Astyanax mexicanus: one gene and its partners. The protein of the gene in region 4 purifies or fractionates together with the protein of the main gene of each other region. This does not show direct contact. Links are inferred from orthologs where the notes say so. Each region holds a gene or a part of one and is shown on either strand. Other genes may lie near its edges. The genes, in order: stx7l, vti1b, vamp3 and stx6.

Region 1 (7,370 bases), on a different chromosome or scaffold from region 4:
CTCTAGAATTTGGTAGAGGATACATAAGTAACAACACATTAAGAAGCTCACAAGCCACAACTGACAAATACTTGTATTTTTCACAGCAAGAGGAACAAAAAAAGACAAGATCACGGCATGATTTTTCAGTATATGTATATGTTTTCTGTTTAGTCTACTAGAAACTTTTCTCAGCACTTTTATTTTAGTCCCTCATGTTTAGTTCCCAGTTCCTTTTTGACTTTAGTTTCATTCGATTTTGTTTATTCAGCAACTGGACTGCTCTACACAAAATAAATACTGAAATTGAAAAACAATACATTTTACTGCTTACATTTTTCTTTAAACATTTAAAGTACTAAGTGTGACATGATACTGATAAAGCCTATGTTATTGTGTGTTATACCAAATAGGGGTGGGAATCACAGGGCAGATCCCAATATGGTATCACGTTACGTTGCCCATGGTATCGATAATATCATAATACTGTGACTCAATATAATGCAAGACAATTCTGTACAATAGAGGATGAAGAGAATAAAATACAAATATCAGGAATGATGGATCAGTTTTACAGAATTTTACAAACAATATTATTTGTCACAGGTATACCCTTTTTATTTGATTAGCGCCCCCACCTAAAAAAACAGTGACTTTTGTAAGTCAAATTGAGGGCCGAGTCTTCTTAGAGCCCCTATGTTTCAATAAAATATAAGAAAAATAATGATAATTGACGCCACATCAGCATATGTTACAGTCAAAGCGATATGATAATGTATTGTCCCACCACTTGTACCAAACAGTTCCACACATGAATCAACACATCATGTAACACCAAAGAAAGTATATACTTTATTGATTTATAGTTGTCTATATAACATTGTCAATATAACATAACTACATTATAGTTTATATTGTGGATGTCATCAATTCTTTTAAAGTGTGCCAACACATGCTTTTATTTATTTCATCTGCAATGTTTGCCACTATTGTGATACATCAAATATTGTGAAATTGTCTTGACATATCATATGGCATTTATGCCACATTTCCTACCTTAAAAAAACAATACTTCACTGTCTTGCTGTTGACGGAAAAGGGATACCTGATAGCATAAATAATACACAATCCATTAAATTGCCATCCGTAATTTACATACAGGTCTGGAAAAAAACGCGAGACCACTTAAAAATTATGAGTTTCTTTGATTTTACCAAATTGAAAACCTCTTGAATATAAACAAGAGGAAGATGATCACAGTCATCAAACCAAGCTGAACTGCTTGAATTTTTGCCCTAGTAGTGGCATAAAATAATCCAAAAGCAGTGTGTAAGACTGGTGGAGGAGAACATGCCAAGATGCATGAAAACTGTGATTAAAAACCTGGGTTATTCCACCAAATATTGATTTCTAAACCCCTAAAACTTTATGAATATAAACTTGTTTTCTTTGCATTATTTGTGGTAAGAAAGCTCTGCATCTTTTTTTTTGCAATTTCAGTCATTTCTTTTTTTTTTTTTTTTTTAAATAAATGCACTAAATGACAATTGGTAGAAATATTGTCCGTAGTTTATGGAATAAAACAACAATGTTCATTTTACTTGTACCTATAAATAGCAAAATTGGAGAAACTAATTTAGAAACTAAAGTGGTCTTTTAATTTTTTTCCAGAGCTGCATTTGTTCATATTATTTTAGTAGTTGTGCTGCTTCATGATTGATCTCTTTTGATAGCTACTCACAGTAAATGAAACTACCGACAACTACCTCCCCCTGAGGATGGACCTGCAGACAAGAGGGTCCTTCCTATAAGTAAATACAGAGCCAAAATATACCAATACTCTGTACTAAATAAAAAGTAAGTAGGTTATATACTTTTATTTAATTGCAGTTTCTCATAATTAATAAAGGGACACTCTTATGGAGTTCGTAAATCTCAATACTTTTTTGATGACCACTAATCCTTTTTATGCAGGTCTTTGACACACTTTAGTGTGTTTTAGTTTGAGCATGGTACAAGGTATAAAAAGTTTGATAAGCACCGGTTTAGAGTTTGTCCTTCTCCCAACTCATCTGTTAAAGGAGGAAAACACTACAATATAAAGAGCAGAATGTATCACATTATTTAAAATCACATGCATGTGTGTTTTAGTTTGATTATGGGTGGTACAAGGTGTTTTAGAGATTGTCCTGCTCCCAAAACATCTGTTCCAGCTACTCAGCAACTAACCAAGCTCCTCCTGACATGAACTTGGTGTGTAAAGGAGGAAAACACTATGATATGTACAGCAGAAGTTCTCCAGGCCACACTGCAGTCCTGTAGGAGAAGACTGAACCCGGGCCTGAGAGCTGTTTCTGACAGCTGTTCTTACTCTTGTCTCTAAAATACTTTTACTGGAGGATTTGGGAGATTGTACTTATGTCATTAGACAACCTGCTGAGCTTCACAGTCTCCTCTAAAACTCACCTGCTGAACTTAGACAACAGCAAAAATGCGGAAACTAACAAACACACCCAGAAGCAGCTGTCACCAGGTTCAGCTCTCAGACCAGCCTTACACATGTGTGTATATATACAGTATACATACACAGTATATATAGGCTTTATAGGATCTAAATATCAATGTAAGTTTCGCAGAAGTCCCTATAAAGACCGAAACTCACTTATTTAAGCTCTAAAGTCACAAAAAGAAACGAAACCACACTGGCAGCGAAAGTGTTCACGCACCAGAAACCTCCAGCGTCAGTTAACCTAGAGTTAGTTACTGACGCGACACCTAATATACAATACTCTGCACTATTTAACACATTTCCGGATATTTTCACACCACTGTACGTCTCTTAAAGCCGCTCCACATTAAACACAGTCAGTCTCCGGGTTTATCAGCTGTATTAAACGCGTCTTTTTTAGCTTTACCTCGGTTTCCTCGGCTTTGGTGAAAGTATTCTCCACAGCAGACTTCCTCACAGCTGAAGTCCAGCCTGTCACGTGAGAGTCTGTCGGGCGGTGATTGGAGGATTTCACGGTTGTTTTTCCGCACCCGTTTTCGGACAAGGCCCGCCCTCTCCTGCGCTGAGATTGAATAGAATTGTCACTTAAATTAATAAATTAAACTACTTTTTTGCAGTTTAGATATTTTTAAATGTCAAGACAAAATCTTCAACGATAAACTAAACACTAAAAACTAAAAAAGACACCAAGCCCAGTTATCATTGCTTATGTCAAAGGTTCTCAAACATTTTACAACCAACCTGTTTATAACCAAAGGTGTCAAGACAGTATTCAAATGAATGTGATTATTTACAATAATATGTTAATTCAGAAGCCCAGAAAGAAACTGGACAAAATTAACACCCTTTTAAAATGGCAAGAAACAACTGGATTATTGTCATACAGTGCTTCTGTAATTAGCATTTGTGGCACATAACAAATGCAATATACACTGATAAAAAAAAAGGTCACACACTCTTATATTTTGTTGGACTGCATTTAGCTTTGATCGCGGCACACATTTGCTGTGGCATTGTTTCTGTAATGTCTTAAGATTTATTTCAATCCAGTGTTGCATTATGTATATTTATTTATTATAAGTTTCTCATTGGAGCAAAGTTCTGGACTCTGGTGAACAATCCATGTGTGAAAATGATGATCTCATGTTCCCTGAACCGCTCTTTCACAATTCCAGCACCCTGAATCCATGCATTGTCATTTTTGAATATGCCCGTTTCATCAGGGAAGAAAAAATCCATTGATGGAATAATCTGGTCTATATTCTGTATGTTCAGGTAGTCAGCTGACCTCATTCTTTCAGCACATACTGTTGCTGAACCTAAACCTGACCAACTGCAGCAACCCCAGATCTTTTGCTTAGTTAAATCCAGGGGACGACTTGTAGAAAAAAGATCACATGTTCAGCCAGTTTTAAATAGAACAATTTTGAGTGCTTGTATTTTGTTTTAAGACATTATCTGCCCATGGCACTATACAAAAATATGTGGACAGTGAGACAATCTTTAGTAATTGGGCTCTGCATGCCACCACACTGTATTTGAAATGAAACAAATGAGATGCAACTGAAGTAGACTTTCAGGTTTGATTTAAGGTGTTGAACAAAAACATCCAATGAAGTGTTTAGGAATTAAAACTATTTTCTAAAATGACTGCCTGGATTTTGGAACCCATCAACATCCTATATGATGCTTTACCAGACTGCTACTGCAGCTGTTTTCAGTTGTTGTTTGCTTGTGGGTTTTGCCTTAAGCAAGTGAAAGGCACCTTGATCGGGTTGAGATCTGGTGACTGACTCGGCCACAGCAGAATATTCTACTTCTTCACCTCAAAAACTCCATGTTTTGGCTCCATCTGTACAGTTTAGCCCTGTTTAACTAACCTTTCTGCATTTGGTTGAATCTAAGCATAAAGTAAATCTCTGTACACTTCAGAATTCATCCTTTTGCTTCTGTCTTATCTTCAATAAACACTAGTGAACCAGTGCCACTGGAAGCCATGCATGCTCATACCACCACCATGTTTAAAGCGGCAGTGCGTATTATTTTGTTTCTAAACTAAAAGCAGAAGCATTTCTGAGTGAAGAAGGGATAAAATATTGTGTTTAAAGGTACCAGTGTGCTGGAACGACCATCCCAGCTTAGCCTAATATATTCATTCTAAAAACTAGGGTTTCGGGTCAATAGTATATATTATATGCAGAACCAGAGACTGCAGTTTTAGGACCGCAGTAGTTTCAGGACCGCAGTTCTAGAACCCTATGTTTTCGCGACACTGCCACCTAGCGAAATTAATGACTTACTACTCCTTAATATAATATCATCACTTTATCTAACAACTTACAGATTTGAAGTCTTATCTCACCCAAATATTACCAATTCAGCTAACTACTTTTTAATGTTTATTTCACCCAAATATCACTTTGTCTCAGAATTTGTCTTAGAACTCCCAACCACATATCAGAGACACAAGGATGTCTTTGGGCTCTATTATGTATTTGATATCTAAAATGGATTCAAACTACTTTTCGAAAGATTGAAATCTTTTTGGAACTTCAAGTTAATATATAATAATATCTAAGAAACTGGTCAGGCAAAACAAAAAAAGAGTGGTCCAAAATTCCAGTATAGAAGTGTTTCTGAAGCCTGTGGTATGAATATTTTGTACAGTTTCTTTCTGCAGTTCTGTGTGGAAAGATGCAACATTTTTCTTTTTGCTTTTTTGTGTTTTGGTTGTTTATCAGCGTAGGTGGTGCATTTTCTGTAAGAAGTGCAGAGATGGCAGAATTTTGGCCATTTCTGTAAATGTAAATGTGTGGCAGTAAATTGCACTGTCCTACAAGCCTGAAATGTGGTAAATACTTGACTTCACCTATTCAGAGTCCTGCCATCCCCACAACCCCACATTTTAATTAAACAAATTAATTTTTAATTTGATCACTAACACGAAATGCTTTTGCCCCAAATTATGGCACAATGTTTCCTTTATAAAACTGCAACCAGACAGTTTAATGATTAGGATGTACTGTTTAAAAAGAGAAAAAGCGGTGTGGTGAGAAATTTTACATTCTAAAGATATTGTTCATAGGTGATAAATAGAAGAGTCCACAGAGTTCAATTTAAGAGAAATAAAGTTTAAAGCTTCACCACAGAAAGTTATTTAAAGAAAGTTTTGAAATAGTTTACATAGTTATGAAATAAATCTTTGAAAATGTATTCAAGGTGAATGAATACATGACAGTGCATTGTGGGGCAAAATAGTCCCCAACAAAAACCTATTTGTTCAGATTTGCATTCTACCATTGTCATTACATAGATAAACATATAAGAGGTTCTTTGGTGTTTTTAGATGTTAAAATGTAAAAATGATGATTAATTAAAATGATTTATTTTGTTTTGTAGTCATTGTGACATTTGTTTCCCATAACCACCATTGTAAAAACATGAAATAGTATGTATAACATAAAAATCTAAAAATGAAAAAAAAATAATATATATATATATATATATATATATATATATATATGACAGTGTTCTCTACTGAAAACAACAAAACAGCTAGTTTGATAATCTGATCCTGAATCTGTTCACATTCCATAACACAAAAATCAAAAATAAAATATTTCACATTAACACATTTCATTTTCTTACATTTACTTAATGTAACACATTCTATGCATGTGCGCATCTAAATATGTAAGTCCAAATGCTATTGATCAGTGTTAAGCAGTTTAAAATGCAAATAAATGATGAAATGTGACATACATTTTATTTATTCATTATAATACAATATATTTTACTCTTTAGAAGAACTAAAGTACATAAATAACACAACCTGCTATGCTAAAGACATTTAAGCTAGAAAAATGTTTGTGTCAGAGGAATGAGGAGTAAATATTCTCAGTGTAACAATAAGATAGAGGGATTTCCTGAACCACGGGTAGAAGAGGCCATATATTATAGGATTTAAAGTTGAATTAAGGTAACCCAGCCAGACAAGCACTTCAAAGAGTACCGCAGGTGTGGAGAAGTTGATGTAAGGATCAACTATAGAGTTAACAAAAAAGGGCATCCAGCAAAGAATAAATGCACCTACTACAATGCCGAGGGTTTTTGCTGCTTTGTTCTCATGTTTCACACTTTGAGACACCGTATTCATGCTGGTCCCTTTCTTGCACTGCTTCTTGCCTTCAATTTTCGTCGCATGCTTTTTTGACACCAAAAATATTTTAGCATACAAACAACCCATGACCGAGCATGGCAAAAGGAATCCAATCAATGTATCCAAAGCCCCCCATAGTGCATTAAACAAAAGGTCACAACTTCCCACACAGAAAATTGACTCCATATACTCTTCCAGATTTGCTACGTTTGCTTTTGAATACATTAGACCATATGAATACACCGCAGCTGTAGTCCAACTCAGAGCTACCATTAACCATGCAGTGGGTATAGTTATTCTTGTGGGGTAGTGAAGAGGATGGCACACAGCCTGATAGCGGTCTGTCGCAATACAGACCAGGTGGAAGATAGATGCAGAGGTCAGAAGCATGTCAAAACTAGAGTGCAGTAAACAAAAGCCTTGTCCAAAGTACCAGCAGCCATCCACAGATCGGATCGTGCTGAAGGGCATGACAATCATGCCCACAAACAGGTCGGCCAAGGCTAGAGACATCACCAGAATGTTTGTGGGTGTATGGAGTTGTTTAAAATGTGCAATGGAGACAATAACCACAAAGTTCCCAAGAACAGTCACTGCCATTGCCAAAATGAGTAAAAAATATAAAACAGATTTAGCTCCTACACTGTAAAAGCTTTTTACACATGAGGCATTAGATTCAGGATAACAATATTGGCTTAAATCTGCTTCTTCTGTTAAATATGA
Region 2 (8,232 bases), on a different chromosome or scaffold from region 4:
ATAATTACTTTTGAAACCTTTGATGGTGTGATACTCCTGCACTACAAGTTGCATATCAAGTTCAGTGGCTTTTATTGTCATTCCATCTCAGTACAAGTACAGAGTGTCAAGAAATGATGTTTCTCCAGGACCATGACACAAATTAGAACAAACAGTATGAGACAAGACAGCATAAAGCGCACATGTGTAAATATGGGTGTGCCTTATCGTATCATAAGCATTCATTTCAGCAAAAATTCTGACACAAGAAAAAATTCAATAGCGTGATAATAGTAATGTTCTTCAAAGCAGTCTATTTTGTATTTTTTTTTGCTATTTACTGTATTTACTGTTATTTATTCATTTTTTTGCACTTTATATGCTACACTTTAGTTTTGTGGTAAACTGTTGTTGTTGCATTTCTTTCCTTTTTGTTACACTACTATTTTATACAAAATCAGGGTCTTGGTAAGTTACTGATTAAAAAAATCACAAACATTTTTTTTTGTTTCTACTGCATGTATGAAATTCTTATATTTATACTAAATAAACTTTGATACTTGGGTTGAATACAGTGTTAAAGCAGCAAACAGGTACAGACGGGGCGCATTAATACTATTTGTGAAACACTGGGCAGGTTTTACCAAAAATTTAGATTTACAGACATATTATGTAGTCTATATCATCATATAGGAGTCATTAAGTCATTGGTAATTCTGACATAACATAAATGACAACTGCCAGATTCACATTATGTCAAAAGTCAAAAACAGCTGCAAATGCTGTAAAATTAGTTACTCACCACTTCCTCTGCCTCCCCAAGACGTTCATCAAACACTCTCACTAACTTCTTCTTCTCTTCTAAAGAACAGAAAAGAAACACAAACATAATTTGTATTACAGTAACTGCACATAATATATTTCATACATAGTCATTATTGTATATTAGAACATAGATCATTTAAAGTATCTTTCAAACGTGAGTACAACCCTCACATTTTTGCAAAGTTTTATTATAGCTTAAGTTATACCTAAAGATAAACACTGATACAATGTAAAGTAGTTAGTGTACAGCTTGTATATCTGTGTACATTTGCTGTGCTCTGAAAATAACTCAACACACAGCTATTAATGTCTAAACCACTGGCGACCAAAGTGAGTACACTCTTAAGTCAAAATGGAATTGTTAGTGTAACAAGGTCTCAGGTGTGAATTTTTGGTGGTTTTGCTCTCACACATTCTCAAAGTGGCCACTGGATATTTAACATGGCACTTTACGGGAAAGAACTCTCTGAGGATCTGAAAAAAAGAACATAAAGATGGACTAGGCCAGTGTTTCTCAACCAGGGTGCCGCGGCACCCTGGGGTGCCGTCTGGCTTCATCGGGGGTGCCGTCAAAATATTGCGCCTCACGTGCATATTTCCTTTCCAGAGTCAGCTCGTGTCGGGGTGTGTCCCAATTCACAGGCAGCATACTATGAAGGATGCGACCCACAGAGGCGGTGGATTACTGCGCAGCTGTGACGCAATCTGTCTTCGAATACAGCCTCTGAAGGATGCAGCCCCTAAATTGGGAAACACTGTAAAGTTTTTGTCCCCCACGCGATGCACGCGCTATTTTATGTCAAATTCCGCCAGCAACACCCCTCGTTCTCACCTGAAGTACTGCGCCAGCACATCACCCCAGTTCTCACCTGAAGTACTGCGCCAGCACCCCCCCCCCCCCCCTTAAACTGGGGTGCCTTGACATCTCGCATATATTTAAAGGGTGTCGTGATATAAAAAAGGTTGAGAAACACTGGACTAGGCTACATGAAGATAGCCAAAGCCCTAAAATTGAGCTGCAGTATGCTTGCCAGTGATATCCAGGCATTTAACAGTACAGCCTACACTCAGGACAGTCCACGCCAAAGTCAAACAAAAAAGCTAAGATTTCCATTGGTTTCCAGTGGTTGTCAATGGTTTCCAGTGGTTATTAGAAGGTAGCGTCTTCTAAAGATGAGCATTGTGGTGGGAGTGTCATTGGTTTTGGGCTATATAAGGTGCTGCTAGCTGTAAGGAGTGACAGTCCTTCGGAAACTGGGACGCAGGACAGTATCCTCCGCAGGACACCTCCAAGACAATTCTGACTTGCTAATAAAACTGAATATAAAGGTGATGGACTGGCCCAGCGTAGGTTCAATATAGGATACAATTTTAAAGCTTTGCAATTATGATGCCAATTGAACTTTAAACCCTTTCTAATAAATATTCGGGTTGAAAAATACATTGCAAGAACGTTTTCCTGAATGAATACAAGTTACACTATAAACACTCAAATTATTCATTAAATCAATTCCAAAAAAACACTAGGAAAAGCAATGGCCTACTGTACGTGGATTTGTTTGGGATATTATAGTTAAATTGTACAGGCTGAAAGATGACCCCTGCTAGACCCCAGGCAAAATGTTTCCACACAACAACTCTCAAGGGTCATTCACCATTGGAGATTTATTTCAATATATTTAATTATTTTCTAACAAAACATTAAAGGCTTTTCAGTCATAATACTTTATCAAACTGCCTCTAGTTCATAGTCAGTATAAGTAGAAAGCCCCGAGATATGCAATTGCAGGCAGAGGATGGCAAAAACAGGCTTGAAACCTATCTATCTACAGGTTCTGATTGTTGTATTTCAGTGAATATATAGTTAAAGCTGGGTGTTGCTTACTGACCTGTGAACTGTGTAAGTTAGTTAGCTAAATATATAATTTTGGTGATTAATAAATGGAATAGCTGGTGTAAATAGTATAAATACCGCCGTGGCTCCGCAGCACTCGTTCAGGAATCAGTTTCACTTCATCGTATAAAGATTTATACATTTCATGAAGTTTCTCAAACTCCTCCGACGACATTTTGCCCCTTTCTTCACTGCAGCCGAGAGGCCTTAATATTTTACACTTAAATAAAGATAATCAGCCGCTCTAAACCATATATAACGCTATATAAATCAGTTTACACCACCGGTAACTCCCAGCTCTCTCTGCTTCACAATAATAAACACAGCGAATCAACTCCGCTTCCTCATCCCACCGCGTGACTATAGGAGCCCTGAGAACATGCCTGCATAATAAAACTCCGCAGTGCGGACTGATCGGCCTGTGGGGACGAGCTGTAAAACACTGCAGATATTATATTACATTTCTAAACAAAGTAATAATAATAATCTAAAGTTTGCACTGAAATTTGTAACGACATTTTCTGCGGCGACTCTCAGCGTCCTTAACAAAGCAGCGCATTGTGGTCTATGTAGTTCAATCAAAGAGTCTAAAATGAATTGGTTCAAATGGAGCTAAATCGGAGAATAACGGTGTTTTTCAAATTTTATACTGTAACATGTACTTTTCTCATACATTTTCTTAACACATAACCATATCATATGATTTTTAAAACGTTTAAATTCAAGTTATAAGCCTTTCAAGCCTCCAGCATCGGCTTACCAAAAGGTCAATCAGTTGTAGTGTAGCATTATCCAGACCTGAGTTCTAGAGACCCAGGCTTGAGAAAGTGCTCTATAAAAAAAAAGTGACTTGAGTAGAGCACAAGTGGAAGTAATAAAAAACATTTTTTGTACCTAAGTATTGCAAGTAGTTTATTGTAAAATGTAGTACTGAAGTACTAAAAGTAAAATTCATTCCCTGAGGACTTACTCCCGTGCTCTCTCTAGCGGCTGAAATAGGAAGTGGGCAAATTCAACATAGGCTTAGGTTCAATGTTTCAAAGAAATGTATAATTATGAACATATTATAAACATATTTTAAACGTACTGTTTAAAAAAAACAATCAAATTAATATTTTTCAGATTCGGCAACTTGTTTCATTGATTTGATAAATAATTAATTTAATTTATTAAATTATCTCCTCAATTTAGTAAATAATTATCTTCATTTAGTCCCCACAGGTTAACTACAGATTTTTCTTTAATGAGGGACCAGTTTATTAAATTGAGGAACAGAAATTTGTTTATTAAAGTGAGGGAATTGTTTAATAAATTAAGGAAGCAGTTTATTAAATTCAGGGACTGCACTGTCAAAAGGTTTAAGGAAATTTCTCATCACCAAGCTGATCTTATACTGATCTTTCACTAGTGTACAGCTTGTAAAATAACTCAACACACAGCTATTAATGTCTAAACCACTGGCAACCAAAGTGAGCTGCTGCTGTCTGTAATAATTACATAGTAACACATAGTAACACAGTACTGTACTTTTACCTACTGTACTTGAGTACTATGCTTTTGAATACTTTATGATTTTCAGTTAAGAGAGGTGCTTAAAGAATACTTTACACACTACAACTCCAGTTAGTTTTTTGTTAGAATACAGAAAAATAAAGTAAAAAGTATATATATATATATATACATATACATACTTCGTTACCTGGGTTATCTATACTTTACTAGAGTAATATTTTTTTTAGATAACTTTCAGATGACTATTTTTTCAGAGAATATTCTACTCCTTTCATTACACCTTGTTTTTATTACGGATTTCTATCATTAAAAAAAACTATCCAGATAAATCTATCCATCTAGATAGAGTAGGGTTGCACTATAGGGCCATGTGTCCCAAGGTTTTGTCCTTAATGGCATTTTTTCCCCTTTACATGACCTTTACTTTTACACTTTAAGTATTTTTAAAAGCAGTATTTTTACACTTTTACTTAAAGAGTAAAAAGCTTGAGTTGATACTTCAACTTCTACAGAAGTATTTTAAATCCTACTATGTATAATACCTGAGTAACTCTTTGAAACTGATTAAAAAACTACAGTCCCCATCTACAAAAACTACAATCCCATGATTCCCAGCTGTTTTCTGTGTAGGGCGCTAGAGAAAGTGGGAGTTACCAAATCTAAACAGCCCCACGGATTCGCATCAGCAGTCACACGACTGCAGAGAGGCTTGTTTTTGAGGATTTCTGAATTCTCCTTGTTTTTTTTTTATTGAGTTTTTATTTGTAAAGGATCATGCTCGCTGTCGTGGTGGCAGGTTTCGGATTCGTAGCTATAGTGTTGAGACTGCTGTCCTCCCACATCAGGTAGGCACATCGCTGCGTGTGCTGAGCTTTCTCTGTATTTTAAAGCAGGATTTAAGCGCAATATATTTATATACATATTTACGCTTAATAGAAATGTATAATCCAGCGAGAATGTGCTCTAAATTGTGCTCTAATTGTAAACAGTGTGAAGCTCAGGCTCGCTGACAGGGGCCTTAGTCGGGTATATTAGATAGTAAGCATATAGCTGTGTGTTGTAATTTAGCTAATATACATCTTTTTATGTTTTTTATAAATGTATATCTCATTATACTGGTTGAGAGAGCTGGTTTTGTTCAGTTGAATGGTGCACGACCACTATAGTAACCGCCTCCGCTGAATATGATCAGTTTAGGAAGGCGGCCAATAAGATCTTCCTGGGGGCGGGGCTAATTATGCATGCACAGTGTAGGCGAAGGCTGATTGGGTGCAGAGGACTGCGTATGGTAATTATGTGTGGGTCGTACCACCTGGAGGCATGTGGGGGTGTTCAGAGGAGGTGGGCAGAGAAGGCTATAATGATGCTCTGGATAAAATATTGTATATAAAATAGTGTTTTAATAAAGTAATGACGACTTTATTACGAGACCTTAGTGAAACGTCTTAGTACATTTATTGCCACAAGTACTGAGGTTGGTTTGGCTCTATTCTTCTCATGTTAGTATAAAATTAATTGCCAAGACTGAAATTAAACAAAAAAATATTACAAGAGCTAATATAACAGAATCCTGAATTACTATTAAATGAACATGTGTAATCTTTAAACTTTGTTAAAAAAAGGAATATCATAGAAAAGATACTTAATTTCAGTAATTCAGTTAAAATGTGAAACACATTATATAGATGGATTACACACAGAGTTGTTGATGATTTTGGCTTACAGCCAATGAAAACCCAAAAATCAGTGTCTCAGAAAATTAGAATATTGTATCAGACAAATTGATACTTATGACAGTATGGGCAGTGTGCCAATTCCTGCTGAAAAATGAAATCTGCAGCTTGGACTGTGTGTCTCTCCACTCTTCCTCCAGACTCTGCTCCCTTGATTTACAAATGAAATGCAAAATTTACTGATGATCAGTGATGGTTTGGAGGGTCATGTCATCTGCTGGTGTTGATCCACTGTGTTTTATTATCAAGTCCAAAGTCAGTGCAGTGTTTTCCCACGAAATCTTACAGCACTTCATGCTTTCTTCTGCTGACAACTTTTATTGAGATGTGGATTTCATTCTCCAGCAGGACACTGCCAAAAACACTAGTTGGTCTTTTGTATTATTCTTATTTTCTGAAATACTGACTTTTGGGTTTTGATTGGCTGTAAGCCATAATCATCAACAATAAAACAAGGCTTAATAAAGATCACTCTGTGTTTAATACATCTATATAATATACGAGTTTTACATTTTGAACTGAATTAATGAAATAAAGTAACTTTTCAATGATATTTTTTTTTTTTTAAATGCACTAGTACATATATCACAATTTATCTGGCTTCCTATAATAGTACAGCCTATATTTGTAGTCCAGTAAAAATCTGCAATGCATGTGGTGTTTTCAATCAATCTACTGTAAAAATAGTACATAAATATTGTACAGTCAGGTTAATCCAGTATGAATCTGCAATGTCTTGTAGTAAAAAAGTAGTAGTTATGTAGTGAGGTTAATCCAACATGAGTCTGTAGTGTATGTATAGTGTATAATTTGACAGTAAAAACTATGTACTTCTACACACTTACAAAAAAAAACTAAAGGTTTGTTTGCAGGAAATACGCAGCAGGCGGAGTGTGTCTCTCCACAGCACGTTTGGATGGGAAAACTGCACTGATTACAGGAGCGAACAGCGGGATTGGGAAGGAGACGGCAGTGGACCTGGCCTTGCGGGGTGAGGGAGCACCCCAGCCAAACACTTCACTGTAGAAAAAAACAAAGATATAAAGAGGAGCATTGGAGAATAAAGTGTAGATGTAAAGTGTGTGTGTTATTGTGCAGGTGCACGGGTGATCCTGGCCTGTCGGGATATGGAGAAAGGTGAGGACACGGCCGCAGAGATCCGCAGGCGGGTGGGTGGGGCTAAGGTGGAGGTTCGGGAGTTGGACCTGGCTGATACCCGCTCCATCCGAGTCTTTGCACAGAGATTCCTCAGAGGTAAATTCACACACACCAATTTGTACATCACCAGTGACTGATAAAAGAAACAGGTTTCATCACAAGTTAAAATGTTTGGAACCCTTCTCCCTCAATACCTAGTGCAGTCGATTTTAGCTGTTAGCTGTTGTATCAGAATTTGCATTGTTATTGTTCTCCTCCAAACTTGTTAAGATTAAGTGGTGCAGCATTAAAGGGGAATTCCGGTGTAAAATGGACTTTGGGTGTAATGAAACATGATGATGAATACAAACCTTTGTACGAATGTTCACCCCCAGCATCCTGAAATACAGCGATTTTACTGCTAGCAGTAGTTATCATGCTTCACTACACCCCAAGTCCATTCACACTGGATTTCTCCTTTAAGGGCAGTTCGAAAAGTTGAGGTGTTTCTTCATAATTAGGAGGGTGAAGCATGTTTAGCTTGTAGCATTTTTTAATAAGGAGAATCTTAACTAGTTAGAGGGAATTAGCAAATTTAAGAGAAATTTATTAGCCCAAAGTGACTTTTCTACACAGTCATAACGATCAACTACAGTTGGTAACAGACAATGACTGCAAAGAACATGGACACTGTGCCATGTGGTCAAATTTGCAACCCAAGTCAGCCCAGTAGAGATCACTGATAGAACATTTTAAAAACTGAAGATGGAAAGACAGTTTAGAGGAGAAAAAGTGTGTGAAATAGTGCAGTGTAAAAACACTTTTCTAGATGGTTCAGACTTTCAGACCAGTTACAGAAAGTTGTGGCAGTCTTTGAACAAACCAGAGGAAAAAAGAACTGGTGTTGTGCCAAAATCCAACTCCCCTTGATGTACAGACGCATCACGCAGCAGTATGAACACAAACGCTTAGACTTGGAATGAATTAATTTACTGTAGATTAACTCATTCTGCCATGGGGTGCATGTGTACATGAAGGACAGTCAGATTCTGATAGAGAGCTGGCTTTACATGTATCAGAAGAGGCATGTGCTAGTTTTTAGCCTCCTGGTGTTGGGACATGATAGGGGGATTCATCACAACATCTGGCAAA
Region 3 (7,517 bases), on a different chromosome or scaffold from region 4:
CCTATTTTCTGTGATTTCTGTGATCAAGAAGTGCATGGTTATCTTTTTACTCTAGAATTGTGGCTTTTTAGTAACAAAACTATGAGAGAAACGGGAGTACAGCATGCCTTTCTTTGGATTTGTTTGATTTTTTTTTTCCTCGGGGTCTAATGCACACAGCAGACAAACCTCACAGAACACTTAATATCTATAATATAGCTATTTTACCGCAGTACAGAAATTAGATCAATTTAAAATGTATCTATTAAACTATACAAACAAAGACACACAAACACAATCGCATTCAACTACTTTACGTAACACCCAAAGTTGACACAGATGTGCAAATACTCACACACATCTTCTCACAGCTAATTGCTACACAACATTTTGTGCAGATAAACATGAAACTTTTTGCCTAATGCCAGGCAGAAGTAAGAGGGCTAAACACTCAAATGTGAAGTAAAGTTAAAACCATTTTAATAACTTTCAGTCCTTTTGTTTGTAAACACAGTACTACAGTGATTTTCTGGCGCGTTGTCTATGTCTCTGACAAACTGTTCCCAAAAAAAAAAAAAAAAAACACACAATGCAAATTGTGAAAATGCAACATATTGTGAGGTTACATTCTGCATACTGTGCATGACCTACTCAGAACTGACCTGTTCTCGGGGTAAACTGCACTGTGCGAAAGAAAGCACATTTCTTTTAGGATTAGTAAAACAACAGCAGGAAAACAAATCACATGCTCTTTGTTTTAGCTACAGGTCCACTCAGACGACCCTAAAATAACTCAGAACACAAAACATTCACTGTGTGACTAGGTCAACAGTATTTACACAGGTCAACTGATCTTACTACTACTTTTATGACTGAATGTAATCAAATAATTGAAGAAAAGGCATGTAAGAGATCTGGGATTTAAAGGCTGATTTCAATGGCCAATTGTTTTTTAGCTTGAAGTTTACTGGTTAGACAGATAGATGGACAGACATCCACTAATAATGCGTTCTTGCCTTAGACATAACCACAGGTTTGCATGTCTGAATTACTAGACAAAACCATTGTCACCTGATGAAAGAAACAAGCAGAGCCATCTGTCAGACAGCTCATATCCGAACTAAATCTTACTGCTCTCACTTTCACTACCTGATTGCGTTTGTGTTTAACAGACTGTTTAGCAGTTTAACTGTCAAAGACACCAACATACACTCAAATTCTGTATAAAGAAAGAGAGAAATGGATCACAGTGAAACTTTTTATGAAATCTGGTGTTAAAAAATATATATATTGCAGTATATATAGTAGAACAAACAAAAATAGCACAATGCCTGTTTTATTTATGCCCTATTATTTATATTTCTAGACTTTCTACACTGAAAACATCCACACAATACAATGTGACACAAGTGAGACATGAATAGAAACCTACTACAAAAGTATTTTTATTTGTTGCCTCAGGGTAACACTGAGCACATACAGCTCTTATGTTTGATCAATTATACTAAAACATTGGGTCTTATCTTTAGTCCAGGAGACTCCTTTCTCTTCATGTTTTAATCGCTTTCCTGTTACAACACATCACATTTAAAAGTTTGATATATCAACAGGGGCTCCCAAGCTCCCAAAAATGGCTTGAATTATTATTATATTTTTTTCCCAAAAATAGAAATCATGTTAGGGAGGGTTAAGTACAAGGTATGGGCTTTCATATGCCTGTAAAAATAAACACCTTCTCAGTGCATTCGTGATCAAACATACAATGATCTACTTTCACATTTGAGTGTACTAAAGCATTAATACTTGTCTCAGATATTTAGGTACATGTACAGGTAAGTTTGGGATATGTTTTGTGTTGGGATTTTTGGATTCGCATTTATATAACTTAAATTTATGCATCGTAACAAAAAACTGCAGGATTGTTTTATTGAGATTTTTTAACTTAACGTCAATGAAGGGGTTGTCAATTCAAAAACACATAAAAAATAAAATAAAAATAGTCCCCAGACGTACAAACGAAAATCACTTTCTAGTGCACCTTATGGCCTAATCACACAAGGGAGTGTTTCATTTACTTTTGCTGGAGGATATAAGTTTGGGCTTGGTTCCTGTGTTCATTAAGACAGAAAAAAGAGAAAACCGTTGACACATCTCGTACTATGTGGCAATGATGGACAATTGCAGTTTCTAGCGGTTATTTAGCTATAGAATATCCAGAAAAAAACACAAAATATAGCAGAGAGTTTTCTCAACACTGTCCGCGGATTTAAAAACATCATCTCCTTCTCTATCCTTTAGTGATTAGGGGTTTTAATGTAATTATTAATAAATGACGATGTATCAGCAGTTTGGCGCTGTAAAACCACGAAAAATGTGTAAAACCACGGAAAAAAACTTCAATTTTTTGACGCTGGTCGCTAGTTTCTTGAAGTTAACTGACCTAGTTAGCTTAGCTTAGCTTAACGCAGCTAGCCTTTTAAGTAAAAGAGACCGGTAAAAGTTATGCTAAGCTAATTGGCTATCTAGCGCTAGCTAACCTAGCCCTTATATTAAGTTTATTAACTAGCTAACTAATAACAACTAGTCTGGGCGCTGGAACTGTATTTAACTGTAACTGATACTAAAGAAGCTTCTTTTTAGTTAAAGAAAATAAAAATAAACCTAATCAGGTACACAGACTGTTTAACTCAAAACCACGAAGCTTTTTTTAAAGTTACAGCCAAAGAAAACACTAAGATAAGTTATGCTAAGCTAGGCTTGGCTAGTTAGCTAGCTATTTGGCTAGCATGCTAACCTGTTGCTGAGGGAGGCCTGGGGAAGTTTGGGCGTTGTTTTGAGCGAGTATTAGCTGGAGTAGATAGCTAGCTAGTTATCAAACTTCCTAAATATGTATATAGCGAACATAAATATAATCTATCCGCTTAAAAGCGCCCACACATTCGCTATAAAACACACTTACATGGTTGTTGATGTGGTGTTCGGTAGAGGGCCGGCTGCTGTATAAACTCCGTAGTGATCAGTAGCTGCAGCTCTGTCTATCAGTCAGTCTGTGTGGACTACTGTCTCACAGCACACTAACTTAAAGGGCCAGCTCCACACTAAACTACTGACTCAGTTTATTTCCTACATTGTAAATGAATAGTGAAGTGATTTAGACTATGAAGAAACACATAATGAATCGTTTAGTTACTTAAAAGTGTTAAACAAACCAAAATATTCTGTGAAGAAGCATTTAGGTACTGTTAGCATCTAGGGAGCTAGTTAACTTGTATGGGGAGCTGTTTCTGAGGCTGGTAACTCTGAAAAACTTGTCCTGCACAACAGAGGAAACTTCTGCTCTTCTGTGGTACCACATTTCCAACAAACTATTTAGTAAAGTTGGAGGAATTCAGTTTCTATTAAGATGTGATTTTAAAGTTTTAAAAATCTCTGTAAAATTGTCAAATTTCCACAAACAGTCAATAAATAATACTGCAAAGATTATATTTACCTATAACTTTTCACTACATAACTATACTTTGAATAATAGGGCTGTTATTGCTAAAAGTGTGATATTTTTTGTTCTAGACCTATTGAATTCAGGTGGTCTATTTGTATTCTTCTAAGAATTTACTGAAAAGTATAAAATTGTAGTCTCCAGCAAGGGGTATGATAATTGCAATATCTATTTATCGTACAATAAATTAACATGACCTTAATAATTTTTGATAATCGTAATATCGTCTATTGTGTTTATTTGTATATTTGTTCACATATGTAACAGCGAACAGTATTTTAGCCAGTCATGCTTCAATAACTGTGGCTCGATACACACAGTGTGGACTAAAGTAGGTGAAGAAATAAGTATATTAATTCCCAAACTAATTATAATAATTGATTAATTCACATTTTGTTGTCTTTAAAAGGTTTTTAATTGCCTTCTTTATGCTATTCTGTTATTCTGTTATTACAATATATTGTCCACAAAAAAATCTTATCGTGACAGGCCTAGATATGATAAAATATGTAAAACAGAAAATAAGCTAGTTAGTACGGTTTTTAAACAATGTATTATTTGGTGACTTTAACTCATCCTATTCAAGGGGTAATATTGAGGTCTCTTTGAGAAGACAAGCTTTTTGTTTTCATTTATCATGTCAAGAAACCCACTATTAAAATGTAACAGCACAGTATACTGTGATAATGACCTTATAAAAGATTCAAAATTCAAAGTAGCCCCACACCTCACTGGTAGAATTGGTAGAAGCCCTGACATTAATAACTTTAAAAGTGGACAAGAAGCTCATTAAAAAACACTGTTTACAACCCGTAGCGTAGTCTAATCTCTGCCTTATTTTCTAATAAGCTTATTGTGCACTTTTAAAGTTATTAATGCCTCGTTTTAAATGTCAAGGATCTCCGAATTCTGTCAATAAGTTGTGAAGCTACTTTAAGCCTGGATTATAGTGTAAAAAGCGATTTATCTGCAGGGGCAAGTGGATGCCCTGAAGCGTCCATTGTAAAGAGTGCTGGGAAAAAAGCACAAAATTACTGCATCTCGGAAAGCTGCGGGAGAACAGAGGTGGGCTATTTAACAAAGGTTAGTACTCTTTATCATGTTTTACTACACCTAAAGTCAATTTTACACCAGAGTTTTTTTTTTATATCAGTATTATATTTAACTACATATAATCTATAGTCTTAATAAGTATTAGTAAAAAGTGAAAAATACGTGCAAATATTTTATTTTATTTTACATATTTGAGGTTGGGTGTTATTCTTGTAAAATTAATAGAAATTGTACTTTTATTGAGTTAAAAAAATCAACAAATAAAGCTCTTTTAGTCAAGCCTGCTATAGCCCCTCCGAACCTGAGGGTGGCAGTAGAAGGCGGCAGGTACATAGTACAGCGCCCTCTACACTGTTCTCTCAGTAGAGGTGGGCGATACCGGGAATTTTGGTATCGATCCGATACCAAGTAAACGCAGGGCCAGTATTGCCGATATCGATACTGATACCGATACTTTTTAATATTTAAGCTTTATAGATCCAAATGATCCAAAAACCTCGGATAAAATTTCACCAAACATTAGTGATAACAAAATACTTTAGTATCACAATCAACATTTTTTTTAGAAACAATGGAACAGTAACAAAACAAAGTTTAAATATAAAATAAAAAAATATAAAAAAATAAAATAAAAATTCTCCCCTCACTAGACATCTTTTCTAGTTCTTTGTTTCTTTGTTTCTTTTTTTAATAGAATTGTCATTTGGAAAGGAATTGTCTTCCATTCAGTGCAATTCAAATGCAAGTTTTTCTTAAATAAACAGAGTGTAAAAAAATATCACTCAACACAAATCTCCTGAGGTAGAGGCGTGTGGACTCGAGGAGAGCGCTGAGTGGGCGGGGCCAGGCTGAGCCTACCTGCCTGGCGGTTTGGCTGGCTTTGCTGAGCCATGTGATGCATGTGCAACAACAAGAGACCAGAGAGTAGACTGTGGTGAATCTCGTGCACAGCAGTCAGTGCGTGCGGCAGAGAAAAAAGCTTGAATATCGATATTTTTACACGAGTATTGCTCAATACCAATACCAGCGTTGGTATCGATATTATCGATATTTGGATCGATCCGCCCACCTCTATCTCTCAGAACTACAGAGAACTGAGTCTCCTCTGGAGCTGTCTCTTCATTTCTCTCCTGTTTTACAGGTTTGTAGAGGTTAAAATAAATGAATAACTCTATAAAAGTACACAATAGCAATTTCACAGCAGACTCTGACAAGTTATGTACACAAAAAAGGTTGATTTTTGGAAAATGTGGGACTGTTTTGTGTGAGTGTGTGGGTTTGGCCTTGGGCAGCTAGCTAGAGCTAGCTAATCCTGTTCAGTGGGTGAGCTAGCTAAACTCTTAATACGTTTCCCCCAGTGAATTGACAAAGTTTTGTGTTAAAACTGTCATGTTTGGGGAACACTAAATTGTTGAATTGTTTGGAGTATTATGTTGCTGTTTTATTTTTTAATATACAGCCTAGAGTATATTGGTTTTGCTTGAATGTATATGTAAAGGTTTAGTATTAAGAGTTACATTCTCCAAGCATAGTTTCCTTACCAGCGTATAGCTACAAGTAACTTACTCATACTGAGATATTATATACAGCTCTGACACCACTTCAGTGATTTTGCTATTTATAGGTTTATGTTTGAGTGAAATAAACGTTGTTGTTTTATTCTATAAACTACAGACAACATTTCTCCCAAATTTAGAGCATTTATTCGCAGGAAAAAGAGAAATGGCTGAAATAACAAAAAGATGCAGAGCTTTCAGACCTTAAATGCAAAAGAAAAAAAAAAACACAAAAAAACAACAAGTTTGTATTTATAAAGTTTTAAGAGTTCAGAAATCAATATTTGGTGTAATAACCCTGGTTTTTAATCACAGTTTTTATGCATCTTGGCATGTTCTCCTCCACCAGTCTTACACACTGCTTTTGGATAACTTTATGCCTTTACTCCTGGTGCAAAAAATTTAAGCAGTTTTGCTTTGTTTGATGGTTTGTGATCATCCATCTTCCTCTTGATTATATTCCAGAGGTTTTCAATTTGGTAAAATTAAAGAAACTCACCATTTTTTAGTGATCTTTTCTTTTTTTATTTTAGTATTTTAATTCAAAATGTCAAACTCAAATATTATATAGATGTATTACACACAGAGTGATCTATTTTAAGTGTTTATTTCTTTTACTGTTGATAATTGTGGCTAACAGCTTAATGAAATCCTCATCTCTATTTAAAAGTTGTCAGCAAAGGGAAGCATGAAGTGCTGTAAGATTTTACATTTTTTGGTGTTGGTCCACTGTGTTATATCAAGTCCAAAATCATGCAGTGTATACCAGGAGATTTTGCAGCACTTCATGCTTCTCTCTGCTGACAACTTTTATGAAGATGTGGATTTCAATTTCCAGCTGGACCTGGCACAATGCGCCGAAAGCATGCTTTATGGTCATACATAATATTCTAATTTTGTGAGACACTGATTGGATTTTCATTAGCTGTAATCCATAATTATCAACAATAAAATAAATAAATGCTTAAAAAGATCACTCTGTGTGTAATACATCTATATAATAAATGAGTTCCACATTTTAAACTGAGTTACTGAAATAAAGTAAGTAATTTTTTTTAGATGCCCTAGTGTATTTATACTAATGTACAGGCTAATGGAGGTTGTAATCTACTTAATTAAAAAAAGACACTAAACATATGTGAATTTTGTTTATTTTCTAGCTCTATGAATGTGTAAATATTTTTTAGATAAAATACATTGTATATGCAATGAATGAAAGAAAGACAGATATTTAGTGCAAAAAGATTATATTTTAATGAATCAGAGGTTTTACAGAAAAATGTATGACCACAGGTACAGTACCTGTTACACTTAACTTTACAGGTTAGATACAGAGAAAAGTTTGGCCAATTTATTTAATACTCTCCTAAAAGATAAAAAGAGATTTGTGTTTGTCACAGGAACATGCATGGTGTGCTGACACCTTACATATG
Region 4 (7,281 bases):
TGTTATAATATCCCTCATTTTTGATCTCTTAACTAATAATAACAAGATAATCAAACTACAATAGCCCACAATCCTATGGGAAAATAACTAAGTTGATAGACTTGTATAACTTGACATACATACCTGTCTGCTTTTCTTGTCTGTTATGGTGACAGCCATTGGGCTAGCCATGTGGTCTTTCATCTCCTACAAAAAAAGAAAAACATGATTAACATTGTTAATAACATTATATTATTCATATTGACAAATGATCAATGTAGTTGATAATATGACAATTTTAACTAAATCAGAGATATGCATACAGGTAATAATCACCATGAAAAACTTTTTAAAGAACCCAAAGTAAACTCACCCTGACAGTCTGTCTTGTGCTGGTGATGAAAGCTTTCCTTTTACTCAACTCTACCGCATCAAGATTGAACTTTCTTGGATTTGCTTCTACAATACTTGAAATTACTGTTAAGGCTTTGTTTAAAGTAGTATTAGGAGCATGAATAACAACAAATAAAAACATTGTTTTGATCTGAGAAGCATGATAAGGATATTAATAGTCTCATCCAAGTCTTCCAGGTCCCATTCTATAGACCTCAGGCTGTTCCTCAACTCATTGGTGGTCCAGTCTACCTCCTCCTTGGAGGCACCACCAGGATCCTGAAGAAGCTCACTCCATCTCTGGTGTAGACCTTGTGCAGTGTTCACAGCCTTCTGGACCTCTCTAAGCAAAGGGACATATTATTCCAGGTCAACATGAGGAATATTCAGAATAGTGAGAGTTACTGAGGTGGCTGTGAATGCTTGGCTTGTTAAAGCACATATCTAGCTGGCCAACTTAGGAAAATAACTTTATCCTAGATGTATTCTGAATAGCAATTTATGCATAGGCCTGTCACAATAATTACATTATTTGCTTGTCATACAATAGTAACTCAGTATTGACCACTGTGGATTCCTCAGCAAGAAGAGCATTACTATTAGTTTTATTTCTTTTGTTTGGGCAGAATGTTGACGTGGTGGGTAGCGCGGTCACCTACATTAAGACGACCTGGATTTAAATCCCAGCTGGAGCAACCAGGATCTTTCTGTGAAGAGAGTCCTGGTTACTTCCTACAGTCCAAAGACCACCGTTCAGGTAAACTGGAGATGTTTGAAATTGCCCCTAGGAATCACTGTTTTTACACTATTAACAAGGGTAAAAAAAAATTATTGGTAGAATTCCGAGGACCCTGACACTTTGAAAGTGCCCATCAGTCGACTTTTTAATGGCTTAATTTCAAGATGGCGGTGCCGAGAGTACTACCTAAAGGTTTTTTAAATAAACTATCTGCACTTTTAAAGTTTTCAGTGGCTCGTTTTAAATGTTAGGGTTCTCAGAATTCTACCAATGAAGTGTGGAGCTACTTTGAGCTCGATAATGGTGTAAAAGTAGCTAATTTCTTTGCATGAGCAACACTATGCTCCCATCTCTAACATTGTAAGCCTGTTTGGAGAACTGGCAAAAAGCAGTGTATTTTGGAACTCCGGGTAAACAAAGGTGGCCTATTTGCCAAAAGTTTGTACTTGTCATTATGTTTCACTACAACCCAAGTACATTTCACAACATTAAATAATGGGCATAAAATGTCTTGATCACAAAAGTATTATCGCAATCAATTGTGGGACAATATTGCTAAGTTTTTTTGTGACAGGGCTATTTATGCATAAATGTGGACATAATGCTGATACAAAGTATAGATACTATCGGGGTAATCTAAAACATGGGGTCTTACAAAAAATACGAAAAATAATTCTGTAATTGTTGGAGTGACTATTTCTACTAGATTTTATAGCAGTACTGTAAACATTAGTTTGCATTCAGCAACAAGAGCATTAGCTGGTGGCCCTGACTCTTCCACCAAAGAATTACATAAAACACTATCAATCCAGAGAACACAGTTCCACTGCACAATGCTGAAGTCTTTATACCCCTCTAGACCATACATGGTGCCTAATATTATCATGTTTATCACCTCCAGAATCCTATTATAGTGGCAAAACATTTCTACCCAATCTTCTACCAGTCTTCTACTGAGCATCAGCAGAAACCAATTCAGTCAGAACTTTTTGCTTATGTAAATAATTCAGCCTTGCGGTTTAGCCAAGATCCCTTATTTTTAATAACAGTGTAAACAATAAGACATTCAGTACTGATTTAACTAAGCTATTAGTTAAAAAACATGAATATTGTTACACCTCTTCCTTTAACCAACCTTTTCCTAGGTGCTTTATAACCCTTTGTCTGTGTTGTGCGTTATAGAGCAAACTCTGGACTAAAAACTTATTTGTTGATAAATGTGAAATAAGTATAATAAAGTATTGGGGAATTTAATATGAATTGGGGTTCTGTAGTGTTTGTGTATTAGCATTAGCCGGTTAAAAACAATGTCTGTCACTGGCAAAACACCATATTTCTGCGACAGTTTAATACAGCTTTGGATATTATGTTAGCTAACTAGCGTTAACTATGTTTTAACGCTGTAAGATACTGTAAAAATCTTATACACGTTAATAGTGTACATTTAAAGTACCTGCAAACACTTGGACATGTAACGTTAATGTATGTTACCTAAAGCCTGTTTGTATAGAGTTCTTAATAAAAAATGAATTAGCTATTATCCTATTACTATACAAAATTTAAACCAATCCAAAAAGCTAACGCTAGTTAGTAATGAATGCAGGCAGATAGCAGCTAGACTAACTAGCGTTAGCCTAATAGCAACCTAGTTTAAAGCATCATAACAAAGCAGTTAAGCTAGTTAGTTAGCGGACTAGCTAAGCTAACTAACGTGTGTAAAGAAAAATAATTTAGTACGGTACAAACATTTTCCTTCAAAGACACACTCCGGTAACTATATTAAATCTGTAATAAATCTGAGAAGACTGTAAAACAGAACTTCAGCATGGTCCATTGTTGTTAAGGCTGGGTCGTGTTAACATTAGCGTTAGCGTTAGCTAGCTCCGCTCTCTGAGAAAAGCTAACTCTACTCACCCTTTCACAACGAAAAACGGGTCTTCCATCGACATGGTGCTGCTCACAGTAAATGGCTCCTCTGGTATAAAGTCATGCTCCAGACCCCGGCGGCTGTGCCCGTGTCTGTGGCCGCTGTGAGAGCGCTGAGGGTTTAAGGTTTGTTTATGTGCGGGACTGAGCTGCGCCCTCCGCCATCACTCCCTCTACTCAATCCGGGGCAGAGGTCAGCAGAGCTGTGAAATCTGAAAAAACCATTGAAAATTAATTATGTTTTAATAAAGTAAAGTGCAAATAATATGTATTTATTTATAGAATGTTTGCATGTCTGTCTGTCTGTCTATCTGTAGTGGTATGAAAAAGTTTGGGCACCCCAGATAATTTTCATGATATTCCTTAATAAATCACTGGTTGTTCGGATCAGCAGTTCAGTTAAATATCATAAAGCAGACAAACACAGTGATATTTGAGAAGTAAAATGAAGTTTATAATATTTACAGAAAGTGTGCAATAATTATTTAACCAAAATTAGGTAAGTGCATAAAATTTGGCACCCATGTCATTTTATTGATCAGAATAAATAATTCAGTGCACTTTGCCCAAGGAGAGGCTGTATAGTAGAGTAATGCAAGATAAAGCCTTTTCTGCACACAGGCCACAAACAGAGTAGCTTGAGGTATGTTAAAGCACATTTGGACAAACCAGTTTCCTTTTGGAATAAGGTGCTGTAGACTGATGAAACTAAAATTGAATTATTTGGAGGGCAGTATGCATGGCGGAAAAAGAACAAAGCATTCCCAATCAAACACTTGCTGTCTACAGTAAAAAATTCCCAGGGCTGGATACTTCAATGAGAACACGTCCCTAAACTCTTCTCAATATTTACTAAGGTATTCATGCAGAGGAACACGTACAACATTCTGGAATGATCATCTCAGACAAGAATATTATGGAAAATCTGTGGTGTGATATAAAGTGGGCTGTCCATGCTCGGAAACCATCAAACCTGACTGAACTGGAGATGTTTTGTAAAGAAGAATGGTTCAAAACACCTTCAGCCAGGAGCCAGACTCTTTTATTGGAAGCTATTGAAAGTGTTCAGAGTGTTCATTTCTGCAAAAGAAGGATCTATTAAATATTGATGTACTTTTCTGTTGGGGGTGCAAAATTTATGCACCTACCTAATATTGTTTTAAAGAATTAATGCACACTTTCTGTAAATCCTATAAACTTAATTTTGCTTCTTAAATATCACTGTGTTCATCTGCTCTATGATATATTTAACTGAAATTGCTGATCTGAACAACCAATGACATATAAAGGAAAACATATATGTATATATCTATATGTCAGTACTTTTTGCCTAATCATTCCTGTGTTTAAAACAAGTCAGGACATGAATGTAGACCCATAACAGGCCCATTCACAGTCACACCGGTCCTGATGGTCACTGTTACCACCTCTGTCCGAATGCACTGCTGACTGCAGCACTTAAAATGCTTTAAATATTCATGAGGCTCATTCATTAGCTGGGATACCTACACCACAGTATCCCGGTAACATACACCACCGTGTCTCCTGTCTACGTGCAGTTAATTAAAAGGTCAGATCAAAATACACTTACAAAAAAAACTAACCATTTTGGTCTAAGCGTCTGTGAATAGATGTTCAACACGTATATTAAGTGTAGCTAATGATACACATGACTTAACAACACATCACTTCAGTTCATTTTCAATATAATGCCAGTGATATACAGTTGTGGTCAGTACAATAATAATTATCTTAACCTCACAGAAATGTAGCTGTAGTGTAGCAGTGATGACCCAACCTGGACAAACTGGGTGAATAACAGGGTATTTTTTTAGTCAATTGGCTTTACCAAATTCCCTAAATTTATCAATCGGCTTTAGCAAACTGCCAAAACTGATCAACTACTTTACCAAACTGCCAACACTGATCAATCAGCTTTACCAAACTGCCCAAACTCATTAAACAGATTACTAAACTCATCACACATATTTACCAAACTATCAAAACTCATCAAATGGCTTTGACAAACTGCTCAAACTCATCAATCAGTTTTACCAAACTGCTTAAATTGATCAATGGGCTTCAACAAACTGCCAACACTGGATAATCAGTTTTACCGAATTGCAAAAACTGATCAATTGGTCTTAACAAAATGCCAAAACTGATCAACCGACTTTACCAAACAGCCTAAACTAGTAAATCTGCTTTACCAAATTAAACCAGCTTTGTTGAATTGGTCAGGCTGAAAAACCAGTCCATTAACATTATGAAAAATACACTTATAATTGGCCAGAGCTGAGCTGATTAACCAGGGTATGTTTTCACCTGAATCACCAGCTTATTTTATTCGCCTTGACCAGTACATACCAGTCCAGACTATCTGAAATCAGCTGGGCTGTGTTTTTTAGCAGGGTTCTCACACTCTCCTCCACACACACTGTAAACACAAAACGTGTTACGTCACTCCCTGCTTTTCCCCGCGCGGTGTTTTGCGGGTTGTGACCTATATCGAGCACACAGTGGGAAAGATAACCTGGAATTGTTTACCAGAGGACCGCTGCGTATTTAAATGTATTAAGCCTTCGCGAGGCGTTCAGCTATTTCAGTCTGGTGTCACATTGGGCTTTAGCTGGGTCCTGAAACAAAACACCGCCTCCCCTCCCCCTCACTAACGGCTCCCATTCACATTTGCTCAGACACCGCAGAGGATTTGCACAATAGGACCACGTGACCCGCCTGTAGGAGACACAAACCATTACATCAGTCCAGGATGTTGGCTGAAAGCAAGGAGAGTTAAAGGGGACACGGCCATTTTTATTTAACAGCGGTCAAAAACAAGACATTGCACGCCTTAAAATAGCACAGTCTGTGAGATTTTACAAAGTGAGTTGTATTTTAAAAAGAAAACCACCATTTCACCGTTTTAGCTATATTTATGTTTGTAAGCATGATTTTAGACTCGTATCAGTCGTTTTATAAATGATAATACAGATCCTCAGTGTTTATAGCCACCATCAGAAGATAATTACAGTCTAAGAGCCCAAAAATACTGCTGTTAATTTTACACGTAATTTTTTTAGTTATTTAATTTTTCATTGATGTTTTTAGTAATAATTCGGTTGCTCAGCCTAAAAACATTTCGGTCTCTTTAAATTTTTCTCCCACGTTAGTATTTAAATATGACTAATCTGCATCCCGCGTTCCGATTGGTCCGCAGTGGTTTCGCGGGGCGTGGTTGACAGCGTCGGTGGCGTTCAGCGCGCGATGTGATTGGTCAGCGTAGCCGTTACGTCCGGGTATAAAAGCGGTCTAAATATAGAAACGGTCTCATTCCTCTCTAGGCTGTTGTTGGGTGAGAGAGACCGTACGGAAGGTAATGCAGGCTTATAGTATAACCCAATAACATAGAATTATCAGTATTACGTTCTTTAACCACAGAAATGTGGCGGTTGGTTTTATTTATCGTATCAAGTTGATAAAACGAGTAGAGAACCATATTTTTTCCTAAATTAGAGGAATTGTAAGGCTTCTTTTATTTTAAAATAGGTTTTATTTTCATTTAAAAACTACTTGAAGACCAAGTGAGTGTTTCTAAAGCTTGTTGGACCATTTCTTTTGACGTTTTTGGATGGACAATGTTTCAATGAGACTCACACTTGAAGGAGAACAAGCCTGCTGACAAGCCTTCTCTGACTGGAGCTGAACTTTGAAACTGCTTGTATTTATTTTGCTTCGAGTGTTCCTGAATCGAGCCTGACCATGGAGTATAAAGTGGAGGCCCATCGGATAATGAGTATCTCCCTGGGGAAAATTTACAACTCCCGGGTTCAACGAGGAGGCATCAAGCTCCACAAAAACCTCCTGGTGTCTCTGGTGCTCAGAAGTGCACGCCAAGTGTATCTGAGTGATTACTACAGTGGGGTTTGCCTCAACACCCAGCATGTTGAGGCCAAGGAGTGGGAGCTGATGGATTCCAACCAGGAGAAGCCACTCACTCCAGCCCCTGAGGAATCTCTGTCCCCATCAACTGACTGCAACCAGAATCCTGTGGTTCCAGAGGATCCTGAGGTTCAGCACACCAGCCAGGCTGTGGAAGACTCCACAGATCTCCACAGCGTCTACTCCAAACATCAGGCCGAAGAGGAGTCTTCCTCAGAGGATTCTACTACTGATGTTTCTCTCACATCTTCTCCTGTGACCTGTGAATCTCAATGTGAAGCTAAAGGAGCTGAAGTGAGTTCTTC

Evidence for each region.
Region 1: the proteins of stx6 (region 4) and stx7l purify together in Homo sapiens (affinity purification with mass spectrometry; 3 studies listed by BioGRID and IntAct, counting the BioPlex papers as one, with this or other methods). This does not show direct contact. The link is inferred for Astyanax mexicanus from reciprocal best matches to the Homo sapiens genes STX6 and STX7.
Region 2: the proteins of stx6 (region 4) and vti1b purify together in Homo sapiens (affinity purification with mass spectrometry; 3 studies listed by BioGRID and IntAct, counting the BioPlex papers as one, with this or other methods). This does not show direct contact. The link is inferred for Astyanax mexicanus from reciprocal best matches to the Homo sapiens genes STX6 and VTI1B.
Region 3: the proteins of stx6 (region 4) and vamp3 purify together in Homo sapiens (affinity purification with mass spectrometry; 5 studies listed by BioGRID and IntAct, counting the BioPlex papers as one, with this or other methods). This does not show direct contact. The link is inferred for Astyanax mexicanus from reciprocal best matches to the Homo sapiens genes STX6 and VAMP3.

The regions. Positions count from the first base shown.
Region 1 is NC_064408.1:40,137,403-40,144,772, forward strand, and holds the start of stx7l (syntaxin-7), read right to left. Parts: upstream 3,003-7,370; 5' UTR 2,895-3,002; intron 3-2,894; 5' UTR 1-2. Other genes in the region: trace amine-associated receptor 13c-like, read right to left, coding at 6,339-7,370. UniProt on the Homo sapiens protein: May be involved in protein trafficking from the plasma membrane to the early endosome (EE) as well as in homotypic fusion of endocytic organelles. Mediates the endocytic trafficking from early endosomes to late endosomes and lysosomes.
Region 2 is NC_064414.1:8,056,494-8,064,725, reverse strand, and holds the start of vti1b (vesicle transport through interaction with t-SNAREs homolog 1B), read right to left. Parts: upstream 3,044-8,232; 5' UTR 2,874-3,043; coding exon 2,777-2,873; intron 841-2,776; coding exon 782-840; intron 1-781. Other genes in the region: rdh12 (retinol dehydrogenase 12), read left to right, coding at 4,985-5,055, 6,804-6,934, 7,042-7,197. UniProt on the Homo sapiens protein: V-SNARE that mediates vesicle transport pathways through interactions with t-SNAREs on the target membrane. These interactions are proposed to mediate aspects of the specificity of vesicle trafficking and to promote fusion of the lipid bilayers.
Region 3 is NC_064431.1:5,052,365-5,059,881, forward strand, and holds the start of vamp3 (vesicle-associated membrane protein 3), read right to left. Parts: upstream 3,047-7,517; 5' UTR 2,941-3,046; coding exon 2,939-2,940; intron 1-2,938. UniProt on the Homo sapiens protein: SNARE involved in vesicular transport from the late endosomes to the trans-Golgi network.
Region 4 is NC_064423.1:15,822,540-15,829,820, reverse strand, and holds the start of stx6 (syntaxin-6), read right to left. Parts: upstream 3,239-7,281; 5' UTR 3,061-3,238; coding exon 3,026-3,060; intron 716-3,025; coding exon 547-715; intron 449-546; coding exon 353-448; intron 187-352; coding exon 124-186; intron 1-123. Other genes in the region: ier5 (immediate early response gene 5 protein), read left to right, coding at 6,797-7,281. UniProt on the Homo sapiens protein: SNARE promoting movement of transport vesicles to target membranes. Targets endosomes to the trans-Golgi network, and may therefore function in retrograde trafficking.